Callithrix jacchus: one gene and its partners. The protein of the gene in region 3 interacts with the protein of the main gene of each other region in a biochemical or structural test. Links are inferred from orthologs where the notes say so. Each region holds a gene or a part of one and is shown on either strand. Other genes may lie near its edges.

Region 1 (4,040 bases), on a different chromosome or scaffold from region 3:
CTAAGGGGTTTGTCCTCCCAGCAAGAGAGACGACAAGGTCGAAGGAGGGAATTGCATGGGTGTTCGGTGGTGCTCAGAGGGCACTGGGACCAGTGTTTGGAGGGCAGTGGGTGGTGAGGCTGGAAAGGAAGGCAAGGGCTCGATAGTGGGAGTCCTTCGAGGCCCCAGCTCTGTGGCTGAAGGGAGGTGAATGCTTTGTAGGCTGGAGGATAGCATGATCAGGTCTAGGTGGTGCAAGATGGCTCTGAGACACTATGGACTGCAGAACAGCAAGGCCTCACACCTGCTCGAGGGGTGGTAACCAAGGGGTCTTGACCCCAAACTGGCTGAGTCCCTGGAGCCTGAGCATGTGGACCTCAGGTATGCAGTGGCAGAAGACTTCCGAACTGGGAAGGAGCTGGTCACCAACACCCTCTACACTTCCAGGGGGTGAACTCATGACTTTTACTTCAAGAAGCTTCCTGTTACCAGTGGGTGGGCACCCGCAGAGAGGCCCTGTTCATCCTGTGACTACAAGCCCAGCTCCAGTCAAAAAGCACGGGCACAGTCTCCTTTCTTCCCTGAGAGGGTTGGCCGCTTTCTTCGTGGGCATAGCCGCCATCAAAACCAGCGCCCCCATATTTCAGCATGATTAAGCTTTGCCATTTTGGGGGTGGCTGGGGGCGAGGGGAGGGGCTATTGTGTTTCAAAATGGAATAAACAGAAAAGCAATATTAAAAGAATGAGAAGGTTGTTTACTGAGGCTTGAAGAGATGAGATGACAGGTGTTTCCTCCGTGTCGAGAACCAGTGACCCCTGGGAATCGCATTTCCCGCACAGCAGGCACCCATGGCGGGCTGAGTCCTACCCCATGCCCTGGTGGCTTGGAAGCCTGCACGGGCGCTATGCAAAGCCCAACGTTTTCCAGAGGGGCTTTTGGGCTCATCACTGGCCTGGGGAGGGCTAGACGTGGGGTCCCCACAGCTCGCCCCACACCACGTTCACACCCACACCCAGCAGGTCCCCGTGGGGCCGGGGCAGGCTGTGGCCGCCCGCGCTGCGCTGTTGCTCTGTCCCAGCTGGCTGGCTCCTGGTGGGGAGCACTCTGGGCCCGGGCGGCTGGGGCGCGCGCAGTGGGGTGACCCGAGGCCTGGTTGCAGAAACGTTGCACCCGTGCCTGAGGTGGGAGGACGTGATGACGCGCCCCACGCAGCGGGAACCCAGGCCTTTAAAAAGCCCAGGAAACAGCCTCAGCACAAGCGGTGGCTCCACTGGAGGAAAGCACACCCCGGTCTCACGTTCAAGAAGCCAGACTGTCGGCTTCAAAGAGAAAAGGCAACATCCTGTCACAGGCCATGCTCTGGCAAAAACGTAAGTGGTTCGGCGGTGGCTGTCAGAGCCAAGCGAGGGCCACGGGGCCGGGTGATCACAGCTCGGCCTGGAACTGGGGAGCTGCTGGTGGAGGGGATGGGACCCCCGGGCCTGGGTTCCAAGGCCGGGAGTGAGATGCGGGGGAGGTGGGCGGCATGGAGCCTGGTGGAGAAACCAGCCTGTCAGAGGTGATGCTGATTTTCCAGGCTGGAGGGGAACGAACTAGTGTTCCAAGGTGGGACGGGCCCGGGGTACCTCGCTCCTGTGCATGAATCACTGCGGTGAAGACAGGGCGGTTTGTGATTCACACAACAAAAGCCAGATGTGGGGTGGGCTTGGGGCTGGGAGGAAAAGCCATGCAGTTCTTCACAGGAGGGGCTTTATTTCCAGAAGCCGCGGCTCTTCAGCCTGCTGTGGAATCCCCTGGGCCTGTTTCCAGCCGAGTGACTTGGCTTTCTGCCAGGGCATGACTTGTTCGTGTGGATACCCGTGGAGGAGTGGAGACCTTTTTTTTTTTTCACTCGCTCCACTGTCTTGCCTTTTGCCACTCCTTTTCCCCTTCTGTGGCAAGGCCTGTCTATCCCACTGCAAAGGGAGCAGTGGGTTTATCTTTGGCCTTGATTTTTCTCCCTGGAGTTGCACGGGACAACTGTGATCTTTATTTTCCTTTATGTGGACCAAAAAGCAACTTGCCTTACTCATAACTGAAATCATACAGATTAGTTACAACATTCTTTTCATGAGGTAAACAAAGTCAACATTAGCCTCTGAGAGTCAAACCTTATTGGGGCTTAGATCTATATTTCCTCAAGCAAGAAGAATGACCAAAAATTGCTCTTTTTCTTAAAGATTCTTAGTTCATTAAAACGCCTTTTAATTAATTTAAGTACGCTCTGTGTCAAGCAAGCTTAATATAAAAGAATCTAGATTTACAGAAAAAGATAAGTTAGGGAGTGTTTCTTTTTATGGAGAGATACTCGATTAGATCCATTAAAGTTCTGAAAATATAACTTCACTGTTTAAAATGTGACACTGTCACCTTATCACCAATTTATCGTTTGGTTTATGCCTTATGTACATTCTCTGGAATTCAGCTGGTTAACAAGTAATACAGAAGAGTGATTTCAAAATTTCTCAGCTTGTGAAGCCCCACCATTATTTGATATCAGTAAGATGCATTTTTTTTTTAAAATAAAGAGAAATGAACTTTAATTTGGGTTTGAGAGTTATGAGCTCCTCCCAAGATAACTAGGAATATTCCAGAATGGTTGGCATGCAACTCCTGCCAGCAAGCGATGGAGCAGCGACAGCCTATCCTTCCCGGGACAGTGGCAGCTGACCCTGCTGTGAGTGCTCTGTGGATGAGGGCAGGTGGGCCTTCATCTCTTTGCTAGGGGCTTCTAAGCATCTGTGTGCTTTTTCGCTGAGGGCTGAATTGTTTGATGTTTGTGTGAGCCCCTGGAGGGAGTTTTGCCTTGGTGCCTACCTTCTATAAGCAAGTCACTTTCCTTTTTCTCAATCCTTAGGTTTTTCCTATGTAAAGTGGGGGTAAAAAATCATACCCATTCTGAGGATGTACCCTTAGTAAGTGAGGTGCCACTGAAGTCACATTCAGTGGCACCTCACACTCTGTCTGTGTCAGCCTCTGAGATGTGAGTTGCTTCCCTGCATATACAATCTGCCATATTTTCCCCCCTTGGTTCCGTACTCAATTTTTTCATTTCTAATTCCTTCTAAGAGATGAACAGATTTTTTTTTGAGACAGACGCTTGCTCTGTTGCTGAGACTGGAGTGCAGTGGCGTGATCTCGGCTCACTGCAACCTCTGCCTCCCAGGTTCAAGTGATTCTTTCACCTCAGCCTCCCAAGTAGCTGGAACTATAGGTGCCTGCCACCACACCCAGCTAATTTTTTTTTTGGTATTTTTAGTAGACATAGTGTTTGCTATGTTGTCTAGGCTGGTCTCGAACTCCTGGACTCAAGTGATACACCAGCTTCTGCCTCCCAAAGTGCTGGGATTACATGTATGAGTCACTGCACCCGGCCCCAGGTTTTTTTTAAAGGGGATGCTGGAGGGCATGCTTCCTGCTCACACCCTGGAGACCAGTCAGGTAGAGAAAAACTCCATTGTAAGGGAGACCACATTGTAAGCTCATCAGTGGAATAATTGGGGTGAATGTTTCCACATGTTCAGATGAACACAAATCAAAGTTACCTTGAATTGTCCTTTAAGCCTTAAAGGAAAGTAGTGTAGAGGCCCTGGGCTCTAGACCCATCCCCTTAACCCGAACCCAAGTATGTGGTATAGAGAGCACCTGGGTGACTAAACCCTGTGGGAAAATCAGTAAAAACAGGGCAGCATTGTCAGCCCACTTACAAACACCCGATGGAAGGGCAGGGTTTGAAATCAGACACCAAGAGTGCTGAAAGGGCACTTTCTTTTTTCAGAAAACATCCTCGAGGCATGAGCTGAAATGACTGTACTATGGGGTTCTGGAAAGGGTTAAGAAAACATTCACTTTGTGAAGGTTGCCTCCTCCCTACCTAGCCCATGACCCTCGTTTGTGGACTAAATGTGAACATGAGCTTTTGGTTAAGATGAGAGAATGACACGACAAAGCCCAGAACTGCTGGCACGGAGAAGTGGAAATCTTCAAGCCTCAACCAATGGATTTGAAATTTGCCTGAGGG
Region 2 (4,237 bases), on a different chromosome or scaffold from region 3:
ATTTAACATGCCCACAGGGAGTCCACGTGCTCTGATTGAGACAGGGGAAAAATCAGGTTCCCTGAACCCAGCGGATGTCACTACGGCGGGAGAAAGGAGGTCATCAGAGTCTTGGCACACTCATCGCAGTGAGTGAATGTGGGTCCTAGCAATCTAATCCTTGATTCTAGAGGTCACCTGTCTGTTCTGAGCATATCCAACAGTCTCTTTCAAAAACCCCCGGCCGTGGGCTTTCGGCAGAGTGATGTGGGCTAGTTGAGGTGGGGTGAGAAGGAAGATTAGAAAAAGAATGATAAAGGTGCACAGAGACACACCCGGAATAAAAGGGTGCACAGCGCAGGAATAATGAAGAGGGCACATGGACAAGATGGAGGGAAACCGAGGTCTGAAAAAGGCCACCACGGAGGTCACCTGAGACAGGGAAGGAAGGCTGGCAAATAAAAACAATTCATGAGACCTTTGAGATCCATGAGGATTCTTAAACATAACACCCTACACACCTGCAGTTCTTTATCTGGCTTAAGGAACTGGAGGAACAATGTAGCAGGAACCGGGAGAGGCCAAGTCTCAGCCTCCGGGGCACCGCCTACATTCCATATGGATTTAGAATGAAAGGGGCAGGAGAAGAACAGTGCGGTTCCCAAGATGGCTTTCCATAAAGTTGACAAAATACATCCCAACTCACATACCCGGTCCCTAGTAACAGGGAAACCAGCCGTCTACTATAGTTCTGAATTCAATGCCAAGTTCCTTCTCTCAACTCACCGAGAGTGTCCAGCAGAGGGAGTCTCAAGGAGGTACTTAATAAAGAGAAAATTGTTTCATTTTAACACTCTAGACAGTGGGAGCATTGACTGTAGCCCCCTCCTGTAGACGCAGATGAACAATGAATGGCCGACATGGGTTCTCCCACATGTTCACATGTCCACCGGCATGTTCTATTCTGAGTGGTGGAGTGATCAGAAATTTCGTTTTGTTTTGTCCAACGGTTAAATGGACCTTGTGTTCTTCAGAATCAAAGAGGAAAGCCCCTGGAATAACATCTCTCTGTTGCCTTCTAAACAGCCCCTTTGTTTCTAAGAGAGTCTGAAAAAAAATATTTACAGTCCATAGGTTATTTACAGCCTCGTTATCCAGGGCCTGACTGGTAACTTTATTCCGGCCAGAAATCTAATTCATTTGGAGCCCTGGAACTAATAACAGATTTTCTTTTCAGATAAGTTTTTTTTTTTTAATCAGCCTCTTATAACAGAGATAAAACTATTAATGCCTTCCCTGTCTCACTGGCCACAACTGTTCTCTGGATTTATAGGCGGATTACACTCCCCCCTCATGCCCTCCTCTGTGACACATAAACCCTGTACCCTCTCATTTGCGATTTCACCCCACAGAATATCCGAACAAAACCGAAAGAAAGCCAGGGGGACCCACGCTAAAAGTATGTGAAGGCTGCGATTTCAATGATTTCACGAGACAAACATTTGCACGATGAAACAACAGAAAAATCAGACACACAGGTTTAAAATTCCCCCTACTACAAGCACACAAAAACACATCGAAGTGTAAAAACTTAGTTGATTCTGGGTTGCTTTCTGGCTGGAAGCTGACAGAACGGACCGAAGAGAAACGAAACAGAGTGTGCGAGGCAGACCCACGGCTTCTCCGCCTCGCGTTCTTTTCTTTCTTCCTAAAGGCAGTCAAATGGGGGAAAACACCCCGACGCCAGGTGAAGGTGCACCACACAGGTCGACCCAGACTGAGCCAGAAAAACGTCTCCGCGGCTTCCCCGGCTGGAAAACCCAAAGTCCACGTACCCTTGCACACGCTAATGCGGGGAGATTTTCGCCTGTTTCATTGTTCTGCCTGGCTCTGACATGGACTTTTCATCCCTCTCCTCTCTCCCCACCTAGCCCCGCGCGTTCCGATTCCACGGCCCCCCCCCAAAATCGGAGGCTCGCGGAGAATAAAGGAGCGTGGGGTGGGCGCGGAGAGAAATGGGAAGGGGCGCGGGGCGGAGAGCGAAGTGGAAAGGAGGTGCTCCGAGAGGTAGCGTGGGGGGGCGGTGGAAGCTGAGCCGCAGCACCTTCATTTATCGCAAATAAATAAAAAGCACAGTCACGGGTCCGCCTTCCCTGGCGCCCCTGCCCTCCCCGGGCAGCCGCCCACCCTCGCACACGCCCCCTCCCTTCCCGCGCCCCCGGCCCCTCTCCCCGCCCTGGAAGCGGCCCCGCCGGCGCCGGGTCCCGGTCATCTTCCGGGCGCGGGAGGGGGTCGCGGCCCCCTCGGGCCCCGGGTGGGGGCTGGGGCGGGCGCCGGGGGCTGCGGGCGCGGGGCCGCGGGCAGAACAAAGCTGCGGGGGCCGCGGCGGGGCGGCGGGAGAGGGGTCGGCGGGGCCGGGCGCCCCTTACCTTCGTACACGGGGGCCATCGGGGCCGGGGTGTCCGCGGTTCATGGCAACGGGGACGGGAAAGCGGCGCGCGAGCTCGGCCCCCCCAGCCTCAGTCGGAATCTGCCATCTTGAGCCTGTGTCTCCGCTCTCGGCGCAGCCGAGGCCGCCCGCGCCCGCATCACCGCCTCCCGTGGCCGGCGCCGGGGGAGGGGGCCGGGCGCGCCGCCGCCGCCGCCGCCACCGCCGCTGCCGCCCGGGCCCGGCGCGGGGGGCTCGGGGCTCGGGGCTCGGGGCGGCCGGGCGGGCGGAGCGGCCGAGGCCGAGGCGCCGAGCGGCCGCGGCCCCCGAGCGGGTCCGCGGAGGGGCGGGAGCCGGGGGCAGCGCGCGGCCAGGGCCGGCGGGGCTCAGCTCAGCATGGCTGGGCGCGGGGGCTCCGCAAAAGTTGCTAACGGAGGGGGGCGGCGGGCGGGGGCGGGGCGCGGGGCCGGGAGAGCCACAGGGAGTCCGCGCGCAATCGAGCGCCGATGGCACGGATGCGAGGCGGGGAAGGCCGAGCCGAAGGGCAGAGCCGCGCCGGCGGCCGGAGGGGACCGCGCGGGGAGGGGCGGCCGCGCAGCGCGGAGGGACGGGGCGCGGGGCGGGCCCCGGGGAGCCGCTGGGGGGGCGGCCTGGGCCGGGCAGGCACACGGCTCCGAGCCCAGCGCAGCCAAGCCGGTCCGCAGAGGGGCCCCAGAACTTTGTGTGTGTGTGTGTGTGTGTGTGTGCACGTGTGTCTGTGCGCGCGCGCGCGTGTGTGTGCCAGGGTGCGAGGGTGCGCGCGTGCTGGCCCGGAGCGGAACCGACCCTAAGGAGAGCCCCCGGCTGCAAAGTGGTTCGCCCGTCTCGCAGCCCGTTGGTTCTCGCGGAGGTAGGAGTAGAATGAATGAAGGAAAGAGTGGGAGCGCGCCGTGCTCCCAGGGAGGGCGGGTGAGTGGACGAGCTTCGGAAAGCTACACGAGGTCAGAGGCACCAAGCCCTGCAGTGCACGCCGCGGAAAGGCAGCCCCCGGGGTGGTCGCCGGGTTCCTGCCGGAATCTGGCTTCCAAGACACCCTGATCTTCGCCTCGTCGCGTCTACACTGTCCCGAGCCCCACCCTCCCCGCACCCCATCACTTGAATGGGAGCTCACAACTGTCTGGGTCCTCGCTTGTCTCAGCGCTCTCTCCGATCAGGGCTTCCGCTAAACATTCTCCAAACTCTCCCCAGCTTGGAGCCTCTACAGGTTTGCCTCTCCAGCTGTCTCCCGTGTGCTTGGATAGGATGCCCTGCCATCCCCTCCAACTTAGGAAGACTTGTTGAGTCTCCTCTTAAGCTGTTTTTAAAACTGTGGGTCGTGACACATTAATAAATCATAAAATAAATGCAGCGGACGGCAACCGGCTTTAAAAAAGAATGAAATTGAATCCAATAGAAAATATTAGAATCCACTGCCCTTAGTAAGGGAAACTATTGTTTCATAAACCTTTTGTTTCAATTATAGGTACTGGACAAGTGTACTGGAGCATGATGTCAATTTTATTTCCAACTGTGGATCGTGGGTTTAACAAAGTTGAGAAGCTATCTTTTTAAGGTGTAAAATAATCATCTCTAACACTGTATGACTTTCTTAAATACAACCCGATGATTTTCTCACTACTTCATATCCTTTCCGTTCTCCATCCTCTATTCCCCCCCAAAAAGGCAAGCTGTTTCCCACTTCGTTAGTGGCACATCACAGCCCCTTCCTCTGTGTGATCTTGGACTCCGCCGTCTTCCTTGCCCCCCACAATCAATGCTACACTTCCTACCACTTCTCTCAACCTAATGCCA
Region 3 (3,973 bases):
GTAAAATCGGCACTCTGTAACCACAGAATCTGCATCTGAGGACTTCACCAGCCATGGATTGAAAACATTCAGAAAAATTTTAAAATAATACAAAATTTTTAAAATAAAACATATATAACTATTTACCAGCCATGGATTGAAAATATTCAGAAAAATTTTAAAATAATACAAAATTTTTAAAATAAAACATATATAACAACTATTTACCTATTATTTACATTGTATTAAGTGTAAGTAATCCAGAGATAAATTATACAGGAGAATATGCACAGGTTATATACAAATATGATAACATGTTCTATCAGAGACTTGAACATCCTCAGGTTTTGGTATGGGGAAGGGGATCCTGGAACTAATCTTCCGAGGATACCACGGGATGAGTGTAGTTCAAATGCCTTCCATTAACTCTTCTTAATGGTGAGCAGTTACCTACTCTAGAGGTGTAATTTAGGAATGAGGGGAGGGATCACAAGGGGAAAGATCTGCTGCCATCCCCTTTATCTATCAATCTGCCCCCCAAATTATCATCAGCCAGGTATTGATCTTCTTTCCTACTGATCAGTGCCCACCTCAAGAGTGAGGGGATGTACTCTCTAGTGAAGGTAGCAAAAATATAAAAATAAATAAAAACACAGCAAAAGTGAAGGGAGACGTGGGAGAAATGGAGAGCCATCTCAAATAAAACTTTTTGGTGTCGTAGAGAAAGCATATCTTTCTCTATTTGCAATCCACAATATAAATCAGACATAATGAACAAAGAAGGAGAGTCAGGGAGAAACTGAACAGGGGAAGAATACAGATAGCACGGCAGAGACACACCACACTGGGAGTGGGGGATGGAGTCAACAGGTGTAGAACCCCTTAGCCTAGGGTTCTCCAGCGTTGTTTAAACATTCATCAGCAGACTAATCAACATTATTTGACAGATAAATGTCATCTGGAAGAAATGATCGACAATGTAACTAGTCAGGCTGAGTCAAAGATAAAACAAGTAACTCATCCCAAAGAGCTCCCTGGGCTGGGATATAGGAGGCCACTATTTGTCTTGGGGGTGAAAAAATAGATCGGTCGATGTCCTAAGAATACACTCCTAGTAACTATACTAAGCCATATTCTTACAAAGTTAAAGCCTTAAAGTTAATGTTTTATCTCAATTATAGTCATTATTCTGTTGCAAGAAACTTTTGAGAAACAATGTTAGTTACCAATATGACCAAGTAAATGCAACTTGGGTTCTAGATTACTCAGGTGGTTACCAACTGATACCTTAAATGAAGGCTGAGGGTGAAGGAAAAATAAAGATTAATTCCACATCACTAAAGATATATTTTAAAGTTCAAGAGGCAACAAAAGTGACAATTCCATCATAATGTGTCTCATCATATAGACTCAGATCATGAATCAACTCTCATCTGAAGCCCTGTGTAACCCAGGTGTTCTGTACCCTGACAAAAGGACTGTAAAGGAACTCTCCTGTAATCCGGTTTCCCTGAGTGGATTCTTTGTACATACGATGATCCATACATTTTATGTCACTTGTAAAACAGTGGGCTCAGCATTGCCAAAACATCCTGGCTGTATGCTGTATGCCTACTGCATGGTCCAGTTTATGCTGCTTACTGAATTAACAGCATAACAATTAGAAAGTGTTTCCTTGGGCACAAAACAGTCTAGGCAACCAATACCTTTCAAATTACCAAACCAAACCAGAGAATCACATCCAAGGGCAGTAAACTCAGTTTATATTTAACACAACACAGCTACAGACCAATCAAAACATTATTTTTCAATTTCTTGACCTAGCAGTAGTTATACATTTATCATCAACAGTTCAGGCTCACATTACAATATATCTTTATCATTTTCCAAACACTGTAATAAAGCAGATTTTAACTCTTACTCAAAGTGTGAAAACCGAAATGGGAACAGGATTTCTTGTAAATGGAGGTATACAGGACAGCAACTGCTAAAGCCTCTCCAAGCTCCAAAGGTGCTACCCAGCTCCATCTTGAAACAGAAAAGGAATCCCAACCACACAGCCGCCCTGCAGTAGGAACCAAGGACAGCCCTGCAGAAGTCATGACGTAACCTGAAGTTTGATTTAAACAGAAAAAAAGCACAACAGCCCAAATGAAACATGACTGCTAACCTAGGAAACAGCTCGATTCTGCTGCAGCCATTCCGTAAGCCAGGCAGGTTCCACTGACTAACAGCGTTCAAGTTTCACAGCCTCAGCAACCCATCCTGTTAATGTCAATACCTTTTCTCTTCCTTGTCCTAGTCGCCGGTAAACATGTGAACAAGACTCCCCTCCAGGAGTAAAGAGAAGGTGGAATAGGCTTTCCCGTCATGAGAACTCAGGCAGCTCACTGCCTTTTCCAAGAAGTAAAGGTACAGGACCCTCCTGGGCACTTTCTGCTCCTAAACACAAAAGACCCAAATTGGCGTCTGAGGTCAGGATCCAAATATCGTTTCACTTCTCAGAAGCACCAGTTACAGAGGTGGAGAAAGAAAGCCTTTCCATCCCCAGGAGGCAACCACACCTCCCCGTGAGCTCAAATTCGGCTGCATCTCCGAAAATGGGAGCCACAGCTGCGCTGTCCTCCACCATGCCCTAAGCCTTCGTCTGTCTCCCAAGTTTGTCTTCTCCAGATTCACTGGGTAGGCTCCTGCTCGGCTCTGGTGGAGGGGTGACCCGCTGGCTGAGAAGGAAGTACGCTCCCTGAGCCAGCTCAGGGGCTACTGCAGGAGCCCGCCTGCCGGGAGAGCCATTTGGAGCCTCGGCCAGCTGGGGATGGGCCTGCGCCGGGAACGCCCGCTCCAACCAGGAGAGCCAAGGGCCAGTCCAGGGCGCGCAGCGTGCAGGGCGGTGCCCGTCTCGCTCGCGCAGAGGTGGGGCCGTGCCCGCAAGCCCCGCCCCACAACCCAGGGCGGGGCCGCGGGACCCCGCAGCTCTGACCCCGTGCCACCCCGCCATGGACCCCACCCCGCCATGGACCGCATACCACCGCACCCCAGCGACATCGAGCCTTCCTCAGCATTTCCACCAGTTTAAAGTTAGGTGGAACCATGCCGTTTTCGGTGTGTCAGAACAGTCTCATATCAGGAGTTTCTTACGGTTTCAATCTAAGAGCTACAGCGTATCTTGAAATGCGTGGCCACACTGGCGCTCCGCTCTACGTTTATCCGAACTCTAAAATTTTGGAGTGAAAACATTCTCCCTAATTCATTCAACAGCTATTTACTGGCATCAACTACTAATTTCCTCAATTCTAGCTCACTTCACTTCTCCTATCGGTAATGTATTTTAAATTCCCCTTCCCCGCTGCGAAAACACTTTGCAGGAAAAGTAGTAAGCATACTTCTGCCACATTAAACTCCTACTTAAACCTCCTAAGAGAGTATACTCTCTTCCCACTCTGGGAAAGCCATCTTAAATGGCCTCATTAAACGCAGAGTAGCTTGTTTTGTTTTTAAACAAGCATTACCCTTGCCCCAATAAAGTCCTGGGCCTCAGATTTGCATTGCATCAGCTAGTGCGTGCAGAGGTTTAACCTGTCATTACATCATGCTTAGGGCAGCCTCTAAATGCAGCAAGAGCTGGCAGAGAGGAATCAACCCAATGTAGGGAATTGCAGATTACCCACTTTCAGCAAGAAATTTTAACTCTAACCACTTCCTCACTCTATTAACAGTGTGTTCAATCACCTCAACCTCATTTTACAATATAGGCTACACAAAAGAGTATTAGGAAAAGAAATATGATTGAAAATAAATACAGTCTACCCCACAGACAAGTTTTTTGTTTTGTTGTTGTTGTTTTTGAGACAGGGTCTCACTCTTGCCCAGGTCTGAGTGCAGTGGCACAATCTCCACTCACTGCAGCCTCGGTCTTTTGGGCTCAAGCAATCCCCTCCCACCTGAATCTCCCCAATCACTAGGCACCACCGTCTTCGGCTAATTTTCTTTATAT
Region 4 (3,514 bases), on a different chromosome or scaffold from region 3:
CCAAAATAAATGCAGCATCATTCTGTTACTAATGAATGCAGCTGATAAAAAACGAGTCTCTAGTCTATTGACATGTATACTGAACTAGATTATACTTACCAGGAGAGAGATCTGTCCTTCTTTAACAATGCTCAAGATGCTTTTTACTTTTTTCAGATACTCACTTCTTTCTTCTGGGCTTTGGGAGCTGGGCCAGTTCATGCTACTGACCTGCTCTTCTTGTTTGGATTCTGCTGCTGAGGATTGCAAGTGGAAGGCCCTGAGCTGGCAGTCTGGTGTTGTCTTCTCAACTTTTCGACCATGAGAATCACTAAATGTCTTGTTTAGGAAGTCTTTACTCTGGTTTTCATATGCAGAGCCACATTTAACCAGAGGAGGTGAGATCTCGGGTTCTTCAGTGGACAGCTTGTGCTGATCGCGGATGACAGCTGATGCTTTTCTCAAGTGAGGGCTTTTCAAGGGAGAAAGAACACAAAATGGTGCCATGTTGGATGGTGAGTTCTCAGAACTTCCTGTAGAGCAGACTTTGCCAGAAAGGCCATTGATGCTTGTGCATAAGCCCAAAATTCTTTTTTCTGAAGTTACCTTGGTAAAAGAGGCAAGCTGCTGACTGGATTTAATATAAGGCACATCCAGAATCTCATCCATGTCAAGGTCATAGTGCTCCAGTTCACCCAGTGGTGTGCTGGGCTCAGAGTTCTTACCTGGTGGGCCGCCCAGTCCATCTCCAGGGCTGAGATCCTCGGGCTGGTGGCCCAGGTCAGACTCACCCCCTTTCTGGTACTCAACCACTTTCTGGTTCTTTTGGTCATCACTTTCATTGTTTTCCAGAGTCTCTGGCTGATGTTTCAGTGGTGAAACACGCTTCACTGGGCGGAACTTACTGTACACATCAGCGATTCCTGTGGGCTTCTGTGTGTTTGTAATAAGAGTTGAGATGCCGCAATTCCAGCTAGAGCTAGAAACTGTTTTTTAAAAATTAAAATAGGAGACTATTAATTTGGAATACTGAACACATCTTGGCTATTTAGGTAGATGTGATTCATTCAAGTTATGTTCAAATTAAGGCTCTGTATATGAGAATGACTTAGAGTGCATGTCCATAGAATAAAAAATTCATACTTACCACTGGAAAACAGTGAATGATAAAAGAAAGTTATAACATACTGGCTCAAAATTAATTAAAGTAGTAATAATGGTAAAAGCAAACAGCCAGGGAAGCAAACTCAGATAGGTATTTAGGTTTATTCCCTGCATAGATCTACCTCCCTGGCAATATTTATATATTTGTCACCATCCTGAAAAACAAGATTACCAAATAAGATCTTCAGTGTTAAATAAACTTCCAAACTAATTTAGGGAGAAAAGGGATGTGTGCACACATGCACACACATTAGCATGCATGTCCACATATACCCTTAATGCTTAAGAAGTTCCATGTAAAGAAGTGGCAAATTATTTAATACTGAGTAAATTCAAACTATGACCTCCTGAGTGACTCCTTAGGTGTACCACTAAGAGGATTATGGAAAGATTAGGAAGAAATGCAGTGGTCAGGAGTTGACAGACTGTGGCAGACAAGACATAGTTGAGTTAAGCCCACCTTGGTCAAAGGATCCTAGTCAACTGTCATGCAGCAGCATTTCATGGTGCTTTCTGACATATGACACAGTGACAGAATGTACTAAGACTTCACAACAGAACATGTTCTTTAAGATTCATACTGCCTTTTATTGTTGAGAAGGCTGGAAGTAAACAGGAGAAGAAAGTTGTGAAAAGAAAATGGGTTAGGCAGAGTGTTTTCTAATTTCTGTGCAAAATTTAGAAAAAGATAGTGTGTTGGTTTGCATTTGATAAGTGTCTGGTTGCGATAGAGTAGAAAGTGAAATAGCCAGAAACACCTGGAGGTGAAAGATAAGAAGAACCATCTCTCCTACTAACCCCTGCATGAGAGGCTGCCTGGTGCCTCCTCTTGGGGCAAGCAGATGGAGCAGCAACAGTCTCCTCAGCCATGATGATGCTGTTTCCTCCCTGGGACACTCCCCTGCTAGGTTAAAGATGACCCCACACCCTTGGAAATGTGCAGGCCACTGACTGATGGGTTCCTAGTTCCCTGCCATGTAGTTCCTATCATCCTTCATCAAAGGATGAGATTTCAGGGCATGCCCTTCAACTAGGGACCTTCCATCTACCCCTTCTCTTCTGAAAAACAAGTGGGAAGGATTTATCCCAAAAGCATGTGTATGTGTGTGTTCTTCACTACCGGGCACAACCAAAGGAAAAAAGAACATGAGATGGGTGGATACTCATGTCTGTAACTTCTGCAATAGCCCCTGGCTTTGACTGATTCTTGGGGTGAAAGTGGAACATACATCATTAAAGTTCTCTAAATTTAAGCTACTGGCCATTCTTTTTCCTGCTGGGATATGTTCTAAAAGGATTCAGAGAAGTTCTGGAACCAAGCTAAGGGGATGACAGTGAGTGCTCTGAGCCTGAATGCTATATAACTATCAGTGAGTTCTTTTCCTTAAATCAACCACAATTTTGCATGAGGTTTCAGAGGGTCTGCACTACGTAGTCCACTTCTCAGACCTTTCTGGCCCTGGCATTTTAGAATCTAAGAAGAGAATACTATGATAAGCTGTGGAAGGAGGGCTGGAGTCTCTCCAATAAGTAATGTGGAAGAGAATGTTCCAGAGGGGAAGGAAGGTATCTAGATGGTCTTAGGCTGTTGCTTTTCTTCCCTTTTGTTGGCTCTAGTTCCTTGTTGTACACAGTGGTTGGCACAGATCAGACAATTAACAAATGCCAGTATGTGAATTTGAATCTCACTTTGCACAACACGTTAAATCTTCTAAAATGCACAAAGTGCATCCTTCTGCGGGATTTACAGTTGAATTTCACAGGGGACAAAACCCTGTTAATAAACTCAGCAGAGTGATAATCACCAGTAAGAGCCCAATTTGCTAAAGTTATTTATGAAATGTAAATATGCAAAGGCAAAGACTAATTCCAGTTGGTCTCTTATAAATTTAAAAGTTTTCTATCTCTTACATGACCTTTTCTCTCTAAAAATATAAAGCCATGAAAAATTAATGTCTGCCAGAAAATTCTGCCAAGTCTTTCTCTTTTCAAGAACACATGGTTACTTATTTAATTAAAACAGCAGGAGATAGTGGACATAGAGTTTATAAGATGTAAATATGCCTTTAATTTTATTCATCAACTTTCTGCATATCTTTAAATAAAATGGGAAAAAATTTTACTCATAGACATTTCTGAGATACACTGTTATTATTGGGTATATTTGCTAATATTTTGCCGATTACCTTGATTTCTTTGGAACCTCTAGAAAATGGGCATCTCAGAATGTAATAAAAAATTTTAAAGCCACATAACTTAGTAGGTCAATACAAAGAATGCATTGTACCAATATATTTATGTATTATATGAGGTCGTAGGTTCAAAGGGCTACTCTTTTATGTTGGCTTTATTTACATGTGAAATTTTTTCC
Region 5 (3,514 bases), on a different chromosome or scaffold from region 3:
ACAGACCTTTAGCTTCTATGACATACATAATGTATTTGAAAACAAATTGCTTTGCCCACACCATTTAACTATGGGCTTCTTCAACTGGAGAGATGAAAGCTATACAGTAATCATGTGAATAGCACTAAACAGCTGACATGGTGTAACTCCTCTCAGACTGTGGCTTATCTGGGGAGTACAAAGCATATCAAGAAAATGTGCCTTCATTTTTTTAGACGAGCACCTAAGGAAGAATATAACTAACCTGTCCCCATCCTCCACTTGCCTCCACTGTTATACTCTTTGCTTCTATGATATCAACTCTTTTTTTTCTTTAGATTCCACATAAGTGGGATCATGTGGTGTTTGCCTTTCTGTTTCTGGCTGATTTCACTGAACAAGAGAATTTTTGACATGACATTAAATTTCCGCTTATAAACCCAATTCAAATTATTTACATTGTCTTCTAAAACATTAACTTTCTAAAATAAATCTACTGAATGACCATATCACATTTTCTTTAATGAAAAGAAATTGTTAGGGTGCTCAATTGCCTCTTCATTTTCATACTGTCTAGCTCCTTTGCGCCTATCAAAATAACTGCAAATTTTGCTTTTTAAGAACACTTCTGTTTCACTACCTGAAGTTCTATAAAAAGATCCAAGTTCCTTCACAGCCATCTCTTATACTATTAATCATATATATGTGATAATACCGTGTCTGAACACATTGATAAGTATGGGCTGGGCGCAGTGGGTCATGCCTGTAAAGGAGGCTGAGGCGGGTGGATCACCTGAGGTCAGAAGTTTGAGATCTGCCTGACCAACATGGTGAAATGCTGTATCTACTAAAAATAAAAATATTTTTAAAAATTAGCCAAATGTGGTGGAGGGCACCTGTAATCCCAGCTACTCAGGAGGCTGAGGCAGGAGAATTGCTTGAACTTGAAAGGCGGAGGTTGCAGTGAGCCAAGATTATGTCATTGCACTCCAGCCTGGGCAACAAGAGTGAAACTTCGTCTCAAAAAAATAATAATAAAATAAAAAAGCTCAGAAGTATGTACTGTGTTGCTAAGAAGGTGTGATGGAAATAAACTTGCTGTGTGAGATCAAAGGACTGACACTGAATTGAAATAATGAAGTATTCATACTGAGTCTGGTTCAACTATAACTGCACCTGTAAGCGTTGCTTTCTCTAAACTTTCCTTAGGATAAAGCAAATCCAAATCACTCATGGCTTTACATTCCTGATCATTAAACTTGAAGCACTTTTAATACTGCATGATTATAGCAAAAACATCTTAGCCAAGATTCAGTGTTTGTTTGAACCACACTGACTTGGAAATCTTGGTTACTGTGTTTCTTCTGACCCCTCAGTTGTCTTTGGCATGTGTAAATACAGGTGTATAGAAGTTGATGGCTAGTGGAAGTGGAATGATTTTAAGTCAGTGTTACTCTACCACCCTTTAATCTGTTGTTGTTCTTGATTTGTACCAGTGGCTGAGAAGACCAAAGAGCAAGTGACAAATGTTGGAGGAGCAGTGGTGACGGGTGTGACAGCAGTAGCCCAGAAGACAGTGGAGGGAGCAGGGAACATTGCAGCAGCCACTGGCTTTGTCAAAAAGGACCACTTGGGCAAGGTATGGCTGTGTACACTTTGTGTTACATTTACAAGCTGGTGAGATCATGGTTCATTTTCATGTGAGGCCTGGAGGCGGGAGCAAGATGCTTACTGTGGGAAATGGCTACCTGACCCTCCCGTTGTGAAAAAGTGCTACCTTTATATAGGTCTTGTTTTCTTCAGGCATTAACCCAGATAAACGCCATGCAAATGGTACAATTATCATGATTTTTTCAATTTCTGGAAGAAAGCTAATGAAACAAACAATTTATTAAAATGCCAAAGGAACAGTGTGACATTTCAGAAAGAATGAGTGCTTTCATGTTAACTATAAGTCTTGAAATTTCTCTTCATTGGAATAACAAATCTCTTTGTGCCTAATTTCTTAATTTCCAAAATAGAGTTCTTTTACTTGATTTCTTTATAGTGACATCATCTCTTATTAAATGGCATATTTGCATATTACTTAACAGTTCATTACCAAATACATGTTTGTGGGAACTGAGAGACTTAAAACACATACCAATCAGAGATCATACTTTTGAGGTAAGTTTTAAAATTCTGAGAAGAATTTTGACTGAATTTTTTTTGACAAATATAGGACACAAATAAGATTTTACCAAAGATATTATAACTTTCATTTTAAATATGGAACTAATACAATATGAGGTTCCATATTTAAAATGGAACTAGCTCTAACCTATGTAAAATTGGTGTCCTCCTCACCTCTGGTGTGCCCAGTCTCCCTAGTCCCTTTCTTTTCTTTTCTTTTCTTTTCTTTTCTTTTCTTTTCTTTTCTTTCTTTCTTTCTTTCTTTCTTTCTTTCTTTCTTTCTTTCTTTCTTTCTTTCCTTCCTTCCTTCCTTCTCCTTCCTTCCTTCCTTCCTTCCTTCCTTCCTTCCTTCCTTCCTTCCCTCCCTCCCTCCCTCCCTCCCTCCTTCCCTCCTTCCCTCCTTCCCTCCTTCCCTCCTTCCCTCCTTCCCTCCTTCCCTCCTTCCCTCCTTCCCTCCTTCCCTCCTTCCCTCCTTCCCTCCTTCCCTCCTTCCCTCCTTCCCTCCTTCCCTCCTTCCTTCCTTCCTTCCTTCCTTCCTTCCTTCCTTCCTTCCTTCCTTCCTTCCTTCTGGTGTGCCCAGTCTCCCTAGTCTTTTTCTTTCCTTCCTTCCTTCCTTCCTTCCTTCCTTCCTTCCTTCCTTGCCAAAGTGTTCATCACCTTTAAATACAATAAATAATATGCTTACTTTAATGTATGTTGTTTATTTTATTTTTCCCTTCTAGAATGTAGGCACCATGAGAGTGAAATATATTTACATTTTTTACTGATAGTTCACAAGTGTCTAGGAGAGTTTCCAACTTGTACTAGACAATTTACAAACATTTATTAAATTAGGGAAGGAAGGAAGGAGATAAGTGAGTAAGCAGAATGACTTTTATTTCTGCGTCTTTTATAATCGTATGCTTAGTATAAGAACAGTGCTATTCAGCCATCCACTAGTTCCAACCAAAATGATTTTGGATGAATATCTTGAAAATTGTGAGAAAGAAGTTTTATTTGCTGGCAAACTATTCTGAGTTGTTTCCACTTCATGTAATCCTAGGTAGCAGTCTTACCTTGATAGCCCATTAAAGCACTTATAATAAAAAGGCAGAACAAAAATATCTGTGATATATTTAAATTTAGTACATGTAGTTACATGTCTATTGTCTGGTGTGATGAATGCTAATTATGGCAAATCCTGACTGGGCTTCTAGTGAAGTTCTTCAGCCAATGCTTGAATGCATTGTTGGTCATGATGGTACCCCTTTGTACAAAATATGCTTTTCAAATGATCTTATTAGGGATAATAATTTTAGTCCTGGTTTTCATCTAAAATTATAATTCTATTTATAGCTTTGTAAGATTTCACAAGGTAAGAGGG

The links.
Region 1: the proteins of SIAH1 (region 3) and POU2AF1 form a complex in vitro, tested with the Homo sapiens proteins (2 studies listed by BioGRID). The link is inferred for Callithrix jacchus from reciprocal best matches to the Homo sapiens genes SIAH1 and POU2AF1.
Region 2: of the proteins of SIAH1 (region 3) and HIPK2, one has a biochemical effect on the other in vitro, tested with the Homo sapiens proteins (4 studies listed by BioGRID, with this or other methods). The link is inferred for Callithrix jacchus from reciprocal best matches to the Homo sapiens genes SIAH1 and HIPK2.
Region 4: the proteins of SIAH1 (region 3) and SNCAIP form a complex in vitro, tested with the Homo sapiens proteins (2 studies listed by BioGRID, with this or other methods). The link is inferred for Callithrix jacchus from reciprocal best matches to the Homo sapiens genes SIAH1 and SNCAIP.
Region 5: the proteins of SIAH1 (region 3) and SNCA form a complex in vitro, tested with the Homo sapiens proteins (3 studies listed by BioGRID, with this or other methods). The link is inferred for Callithrix jacchus from reciprocal best matches to the Homo sapiens genes SIAH1 and SNCA.

The regions. Positions count from the first base shown.
Region 1 is NC_133511.1:11,074,369-11,078,408, reverse strand, and holds the start of POU2AF1 (POU domain class 2-associating factor 1), read left to right. Parts: upstream 1-1,236; 5' UTR 1,237-1,334; coding exon 1,335-1,350; intron 1,351-4,040. UniProt on the Homo sapiens protein: Transcriptional coactivator that specifically associates with either POU2F1/OCT1 or POU2F2/OCT2. It boosts the POU2F1/OCT1 mediated promoter activity and to a lesser extent, that of POU2F2/OCT2. It recognizes the POU domains of POU2F1/OCT1 and POU2F2/OCT2.
Region 2 is NC_133512.1:107,576,288-107,580,524, reverse strand, and holds the start of HIPK2 (homeodomain-interacting protein kinase 2), read right to left. Parts: upstream 2,801-4,237; 5' UTR 2,453-2,800; coding exon of another isoform or gene 2,428-2,452; coding exon 2,409-2,427; intron 1-2,408.
Region 3 is NC_133521.1:6,077,581-6,081,553, forward strand, and holds the start of SIAH1 (E3 ubiquitin-protein ligase SIAH1), read right to left. Parts: upstream 2,814-3,973; 5' UTR 2,352-2,813; coding exon of another isoform or gene 2,261-2,351; 5' UTR 2,181-2,260; coding exon of another isoform or gene 2,150-2,180; 5' UTR 2,082-2,149; coding exon 1,901-2,081; intron 1-1,900. UniProt on the Homo sapiens protein: E3 ubiquitin-protein ligase that mediates ubiquitination and subsequent proteasomal degradation of target proteins.
Region 4 is NC_133503.1:86,899,106-86,902,619, forward strand, and holds part of SNCAIP (synphilin-1), read right to left. Parts: intron 966-3,514; coding exon 100-965; intron 1-99. UniProt on the Homo sapiens protein: Isoform 2 inhibits the ubiquitin ligase activity of SIAH1 and inhibits proteasomal degradation of target proteins. Isoform 2 inhibits autoubiquitination and proteasomal degradation of SIAH1, and thereby increases cellular levels of SIAH.
Region 5 is NC_133504.1:107,752,586-107,756,099, forward strand, and holds part of SNCA (alpha-synuclein), read left to right. Parts: intron 1-1,475; coding exon 1,476-1,618; intron 1,619-3,514. UniProt on the Homo sapiens protein: Neuronal protein that plays several roles in synaptic activity such as regulation of synaptic vesicle trafficking and subsequent neurotransmitter release.